Oryctolagus cuniculus: one gene and its partner. The protein of the gene in region 2 binds, or shares a complex with, the protein of the main gene of each other region. Links are inferred from orthologs where the notes say so. Each region holds a gene or a part of one and is shown on either strand. Other genes may lie near its edges.

Region 1 (3,516 bases), on a different chromosome or scaffold from region 2:
AATCTGGTCTGCACCCATGAGAAGACATCAATCTCATTCCCATCAAGGATTATTTTTGTTAACTGAGGATTTTATTGCCCTGTGGCATTTATCATCTACACTGTAAACATGTAACAGAACTCTTGAGTTAGCAGACAGTCTATGTATTGTTTATGAATTGCCTGGATTTTAGCATCCTAAGGTAGGAATCACACACTCTTCTTAAGAGAGTTCTCTGTTTGCTGTTTGTTAAGAGGCTTAGAGAGAGGCACAAATTCGAGTCTCAAAGCAGGCTGAGGTCAAGGTATCCCCCCTGAATGCTTCTCACCACAGCGTGATTCTTCACGTAGCAGGGCTTGCACACAGGCTTGTCATTGACCATCACGTATATTTCGCCAGCCAGGATGTTGTCACAGTCAAAGCAGCAGAAGTGTTTCAGATGCCAATTCTGGTTTTCTGCCTGGGTATACTCATTGCTGAATATCAGCTGGGGAAGCAGGAAAAGAAGATGAACTGGGCATTTTCCTTTTTGCTTTGGATGACAAAGCTAGGTTCTTTACACAAGCAGGCATTTAGCTGAAAAAGTAAATCAATATCCTTTCTTGGGGCTTGAAGCTTCAACATGATAATCTAAAGCTTGCGTGTTAAATTAATTTAAACCAAATTTAGCATTAAATCCAAATCAGTAGTTTCTGTGCCCAGTTTTCCTTAGTCACTACAATTGACAGAGACACTAAAAATGAATGAAATACAGTTTTTTTCATTAAACTTCTTTGGATAGAAATAAAGAACTCATGCTTGGGTTAGTTGCTATTGCTTTTTGGGGAAAGGCCCATATGGAGGTCGGGGGAGCCCGCATGCGAGTGGCCCTGAGAACATACCTCATCACAGCCGGCACATCGGGGTTTCTCGCTGTCACAGTAGTGTCTGCCACAGAACAGCTTTCCATTCTTCCAGAAATAAATCATGTCGACCAGCAGTTCCGAGCAGGTGCTGCAGACAAAACACGCTGGGTGCCACAGTTTATCATAGCCGGCCCTCTCGGCATAGATGGCGGGGTCGCCCTCCTTCATGCTCAGCTTGCAGCAATAGCAGAACTGCGAGGGAAGGCATCCAACACGGTCACCTAACAAGCCTAACACCCACTTCTCTCACCCTGGGCTACGACAGCAGTGTTTCCTGAATTAGTCATTGATGTAAGACGCTACTCATCATAATTTTCACCTCGATGTTACACACAGGCTCTCAAAATTCATGACGTTAGAGCTTGCTGGTATTTTTCTCAGGACCCAGCCTGACTGGCAGACTGCTAGCTGGGTCTTGGTATTACAGTAAGCTTAGTTCTTTGCTCATCTGTGTCACAACTGTTTTCTACTTTCATCCTACTAAAAAAGGATTTACATTTCCCTCTCTAGGAGACCTAAAAAAAAAAAAAAAAAAGCTTGACAATATAGCCATGAAAATTTAATTCTGAATTTTGGGAATGAACTCACAAGCAAAACTGAATTAACCTAAGCGCACATTATTCTTATGTATGGGAAGTGATGAGCAATTAACACCAGAATTGTGTTTAGAAACAAACTCTAGACTCATATGTTGTATTCAAGCAGGATGCCAATGCCAACTACTCTGTATGCATCAAACTCACAACTATCCTTGGCAAAAGATACTCAGAAAATATGGCTTCAGACAGAAGTGTCATACACGATGGCTTTCTCATGACGCTAGGACAAAAGTCTAACTCAGGGTCAATAAACTTACTTCTCTTAGTCCTTTTGGAAACAGAAAAAGAGCCCCCCATCCAAAAAGTTCAAAGACAGGGAAAGAAGCTGTAAAACATCAAACCAGCCACTCCACTTACATACTGAGTTCCTTTGCACTCGGCAGGTTTGCTCTCCATGGGCCCCAAGGCTGCCGGCGTGCTTCTGTCCCCAGCGGGGATGTAGAGTTTGTCGGGGCTGGGACCACCCATCTCATAGGGAAGTTTCACATCTCCTACGCCCAGTGCCTCACTCTTGTATTTCTTCACAAACTGCTCCATTTCCTTCACCTCTTTGGGAGATAACTCATGGCACTTGGAAGGGTCCTGGTCATGCGCAGGGAGCTGCTTTGCCAGCTGCTTCTTTCGGTACTGTGCCCCTTCCGAGCCTGCCACTGGCTGTTTCTCCTTGGGCAGCATCTGCATGTACTGTCTGGCCTGGACCACAAGGAGACCAAGGTCAGCTGGGGAAGGCTTTGGTCATCACACAGGACATCACTGTATCGCATACAGCAGAAGCTACTTAGGGAAGAAGAGGGTTTATTCCATCTAATGGGCAGTACAAAGATCTCAGGGGAGTAACATTCAAAAACGGTTATGCTAAGTGGATTTAGTTGGGTAAAAGAGAACACATTTCTCTCCATGACATTAATTTTTTTTCCAGCCTGTAAAATGATTTGGGTTACTACTATTCACTTGAGCTAAATGAACACAGGTGCCACTGAAAACAGAACACAAAGTAAACACAGTAACCACAGCCTGTGGACCAGCAGCGTGTTCATCATATGACCACCAAAGCGCCAAAAGACTCACTCTGATGATTTAATTAACCTTAAAAGACTTTTCTGTGTTTTCATCTAGTTTTTACATAATAGCAGGAAGAGCCTGACACAAAGTTGCATGCTTTTTGGCTCACACAGTAAAAAAAATATAGTGTGAGATGCTTTTCACAATTTTAATCAAGGGCAGAAATTCTCTTCTTTAGCTATCCATTACCATTTTAAAGGAATTTTCTCTAGACTAAGACAGCATTACCAGATTGATGTTTTAAAAATCTTATTTTCATCTCATTATTAATAATGTTAGACTATTTCATAAAGAAGGCAAATATATGTAAATAGTTGGAAAATTCTAGGCAGTATCTAGTCTAACTTTCAAAACACTATAAAGGCATTCGATGCCAAAGTAATGAGAACCCTAGAGAGATAATAAATGGAAAGGAATTGCCCAAAATAAATTAACAGATGCCCCTTCACCCTGTTATTTACCAATGCCTGGTTCTGGACAGGAGGAGCCCATTCATAGGTGACTGTGTTGATGGAGACATTCTTCTTGGCAGCAACTGGATTGGTCAGTATCATAACATTGCGTTTATACATGGGAATTCCATCCGTCTTTAGCTTTGCGATCAGAGTGGTATACTTGGTGTCTTCAAAAAGTCGCCCCACTTTTCTGTCCTCTTCGTTGCTTAAGAGGACGTCATGTTCTTCTTGGCCACACTTGCAGTTACGACATATTTTTCTATCATTTTGGATAAGCAGGATAATTATTAATTGTAACTCATCAATAATAATCATGTATGTTCATAAGTTTACAGTTCATAAAACACCTTTAAATGTATTCTATATAATGGAATGCAAAAGTAAGTCCTTTTTTCAGAGGGTGGGATGAGCATACACCATATTTAAATGAGGAGACACAGAAACAGGGCTTGCTTTCTAAGTATTTGAAAAGTTAGGTCATGATTTAAAAGTGTATGCCCAATGGGGGAGGCCTGC
Region 2 (3,748 bases):
TCCTTTTCTTTCCTTATCCCTACAAGGAGCCAAGAGCATCCCCAGGAACCTCCTTAAGAGAGAAAGCCCTGGGACCGGTGCTGCAGTACAGTGTTGGCATCCTGTATGAGCACAGGATTGAGTCCTGGCTGCTCTACTTCCCATCTAATGTGCCTGGGAAAGCAGCAGAGGATGGCCCAAGGGCTTGGGCCCCTACACCCACATGGGAGACTCGGAAGAAGTTCCTGGCTCCTGGTTCAGCCTGGCCCAGCCCTCGCTGTTCCAGCCATTTGGGGAGTGAACAAACAGGTGAAAAACCCTTCTCCTCCTCTCTCTGTATGTCTGCCTTTCAAATAAATACAATTTTTGAAAGAAAAAAAAGAGAGAGAGAAAGGCCATTACTGGCGTGACATAGAAGAGCAGGGAGCAGGGGTAATGTCCAAGGTGCTGCTTGACATGAGGCAGGGCTCTGGGTGTCCTTAGTGTGGCAGGCCAGCAGCACCAATGCAGCCAGCTTCAAAGTGGCGTACAAGAAAGTGGCCGAGCAGCCTCAGAGATGCAAGTTAGGTCTCAAGGTGCGTCCACAGCATACATCGGGAGGAAGCCAGAGCGAGGAAACTTGGCCATTGCTGGCTGGACAGCACTGAGTGAGCTACGCATCCACAAGCTTCAATATTCTCATCAGCCGGACTCAGCAGGTTCTAACTGCCCACCCTCTGACCCAGATGAAGGAGGAGCAAGCACACAAAGGATGCCCTAAAAACAATTCCTCCTAAGGTGGTCCTAAAGGGTGTTTAGTGTCCTAAGTGAGATAGAAGAGCATGGCACAGTCACCCCAGTAGCCAATCAGCCTTCTAAAATCTAAGTCAAGTGGTGTCACTCTTGTGCTCAAAATCCTCTGGCACTATCAAAGCTCACCCAGGGCCAAGGCCAAATGCCTTGCAATGTCCTATAAGGACTGACACGAGCTACTCAGCCACCCCCACTCCCACAACCACTTCTCCCTTCCTTCCTTGCTCCTTCTCTGCTGGCTTCCCTGGGCTTTCCCACCCATCCTCTAACTTGAGGTTGGAAACTCTTCTCTGTAAAGAGCCAGATGGTGAATACTTAGTTTTCTTCAGCACAATCTCTGTTGCAAAGACTCAGCCCTGCTGTCGTGCTGCCACAGCGGCCGTGGACAGTGGGCGAATGCATGAGCGTGGCTGTGTTCCAACTAAAGTTCCCAGACCATCCTGGGCTGCCAACTGCATTTGGCTGCCATCTGACACCCCCTGCTCTAACCCGCAAGTCGCATGTCTGCCTCCAGTCTTATGCACCTGCTGGACCCCTGCACACACACCTGAATAGATTATCCCTGCTTTCTTCGGGTCTTCCTGCAAGCAGTACCATCTCACAGAACCCTGCCTAGTTTTTGTCCTTCACTCTCAACACTTTCTAATAGCTATTTCTTTTGGTTATTGCCTGTCTCTCCCAACCCCTTCTGACTAGAATACAAAAATAAGCTGTACCAGCACAAAGATTTTTGTTTTTTTCTCCCTTCCTGCTGTATTCCCAGCTGTCTCACTCATAGCAGGCTCAATAAATACTGACTGAATACATCAAAGTTATTATAAACTTTAGAAAAAGGGAGCTGTTTGGAAAACAATGTTCAACCCTGACATGGGACAAAGATTCTCAGTGTTTAGAAAGACTCAGGTCACTGGATTACATCATAATCAGTGATGTCATTATTGGGAAAATTCTCAAGCTCTGCTCTGAGTTAGGCCTTTCAGGCCTTGTAGCCAGCGGGATTGAGGAGCGTTCTGAGAGTAGTATGGCTCTGGAAAGCATGTGGGCTCCACAGGCAGCAAACATAGGTGATGGGCCTGGCAAGAAAGTGGGTGACCGGGCCTCCATGCAGACACAGCTCCTCCAGACAGCCTCCCTCAAGGATGGCCCGGCCAGGCGGGCAGTGTGGGTCGGCCGTAACTCTTCGGAGCCAGAAGAGCCTACAAAATCAACAGTGGCCGAGAGGCGGCCCAAGTTAGGGGTGACCAAAGCAGTGGTCGTGGACCTTGGCACTGGCTACTGTAAATGTGGCTTTGCTGGCCTGCCAAAGCCCACCCACAAGATCTCGACAACAGTGGGCAAGCCCTACATGGAGACAGCCAAGACCGGGGACAATCGCAAGGAGACGTTCGTGGGGCAAGAGCTCATCAACCCAAAGGTTCGCCTCAGGCTGGTTAACCCCCTGCGCCACGGCATCATCGTGGACTGGGATACGGTGCAGGACATCTGGGAGCATCTCTTCCGACAGGAGATGAAGATCGCCCCGGAGGAGCATGCGGTCTTGGTTTCAGACCCGCCCCTGAGCCCACACACCAACAGAGAGAAGTACGCCGAAATGCTGTTTGAGACCTTCAACACCCCCGCTATGCACATCGCCTACCAGTCCCGCCTGTCCATGTACTCCTACGGGCGGACCTCCGGCCTGGTGGTGGAGGTGGGCCATGGCGTGTCCTACGTGGTCCCCATCTATGAGGGCTACCCTCTGCCCAGCATCACCGGAAGGCTGGACTACGCAGGCTCTGACCTGACCGCCTACCTGATGAACCTGTTGAACAACGCCGGGAAATACTTCAGCGAGGAGCAGATGTGCATTGTGGAGGACATCAAGAAGAAATGCTGCTTCGTGGCCCTGGACCCCATCGAGGAGAAGAAAGTCCCTCCCACGGAGCACGCGATCCAGTATACTCTGCCCGATGGGAAGGAGATATACCTCTACCAGGAAAGGTTCCTCTGCGCCGAGATGTTCTTCAAGCCCTCTCTGATCAAGTCCATGCAGCTGGGCCTTCACACGCAGACTGTGTCCTGCCTTAACAAGTGCGACATTGCCCTCAAGCGGGACCTCATGGGGAACATCCTGCTCTGCGGAGGCAGCACGATGCTCAGCGGCTTCCCCAACCGCCTACAGAAGGAGCTAAGCAGCATGTGTCCCAACGACACCCCGCAGGTGAACGTGCTGCCGGAGAGGGACACTGCGGTGTGGACCGGAGGCTCCATCCTGGCCTCGCTGCAGGGCTTCCAACCCCTGTGGGTCCATCGCTCTGAGTACGAGGAACACGGGCCCTTCTTCCTCTACAGAAGGTGCTTCTGAACGCATGATGCCGAGCCACTGCCGTGACCGTGCGGCAGCTTGGCCTGGTGAGCGTCCACCCTCCACGCGGGGAGCTGAGCCAGCACACTCCTTCCTGTAGCATTAAACAGCCCTCATGTTCCCCTCTGCAGTATGTGTTTCCTACTTGGTGAGAACAATCCCACGGATGCGGCTTCTGTTTTAACAATATGCATTTGCCAAAACAAAAGCCGGGGCGGGGAGGAGGATCGATGAAGACAAGCACATGTGGATTGCTTATAAACACTCATTTTCTTGGGAGAAACTTGTCAGTGCACATGGTTGACAGGGCTCAGGGACTTGTTTTCCATTTGTTAGCAGGGGAAGGGGAGGAATGACTGGGCTATTATTTTTCATTTGGGGGAACTCTGTTACAAGTGCTGGGTTTTAGCATTTGGCACAGCAGGTTAAGCTGCTGCTTGCAATGCCAGCACCCATCTACCTCTTATACAGGAGTCTGAAAGTCTCTAACTATGGTCCTTGGTCACACCTGCACTCAACGGCACATACTCAGTGTTCAGAAGGGAGCTGACCTCCTCCCATCTTCAGGGAAAAACCCTAAGAGCTGCCCCCTCATAGCCTCCACGTTTGCCTAGACAGCCTTGGAAGGCCCAA

Evidence for each region. Proteins that work in one complex are often made in the same cells at the same time.
Region 1: the proteins of ACTL7A (region 2) and TES are in contact, whole or in part, in a crystal structure (PDB 2XQN), measured with the Homo sapiens proteins. The link is inferred for Oryctolagus cuniculus from reciprocal best matches to the Homo sapiens genes ACTL7A and TES. Residues at the interface, in NP_006678.1 of Homo sapiens: Leu28, Gln29, Thr30, Ala31, Ser32, Leu33, Arg34, Asp35, Gly36, Pro37, Ala38, Lys39, Arg40, Ala41, Val42, Trp43, Val44, Arg45, His46; in NP_056456.1 of Homo sapiens: Asn311, Glu312, Tyr313, Thr314, Gln315, Ala316, Glu317, Leu323, Phe326, Leu335, Ala336, Gly337, Glu338, Ile339, Tyr340, Val341, Tyr353, Pro370, Glu371, Val372, Gln373, Arg374, Val375, Thr376, Tyr377, Ala384, Phe389, Leu398, Ile399, Gly400.

What each region holds. Positions count from the first base shown.
Region 1 is NC_091434.1:151,686,108-151,689,623, reverse strand, and holds part of TES (testin), read right to left. Parts: intron 3,260-3,516; coding exon 3,007-3,259; intron 2,177-3,006; coding exon 1,841-2,176; intron 1,077-1,840; coding exon 861-1,076; intron 467-860; coding exon 308-466; intron 1-307. UniProt on the Homo sapiens protein: Scaffold protein that may play a role in cell adhesion, cell spreading and in the reorganization of the actin cytoskeleton. Plays a role in the regulation of cell proliferation. May act as a tumor suppressor. Inhibits tumor cell growth.
Region 2 is NC_091432.1:212,560,443-212,564,190, forward strand, and holds the end of ACTL7A (actin-like protein 7A), read left to right. Parts: 5' UTR 1-1,792; coding exon 1,793-3,115; 3' UTR 3,116-3,245; downstream 3,246-3,748. UniProt on the Homo sapiens protein: Essential for normal spermatogenesis and male fertility. Required for normal sperm head morphology, acroplaxome formation, acrosome attachment, and acrosome granule stability.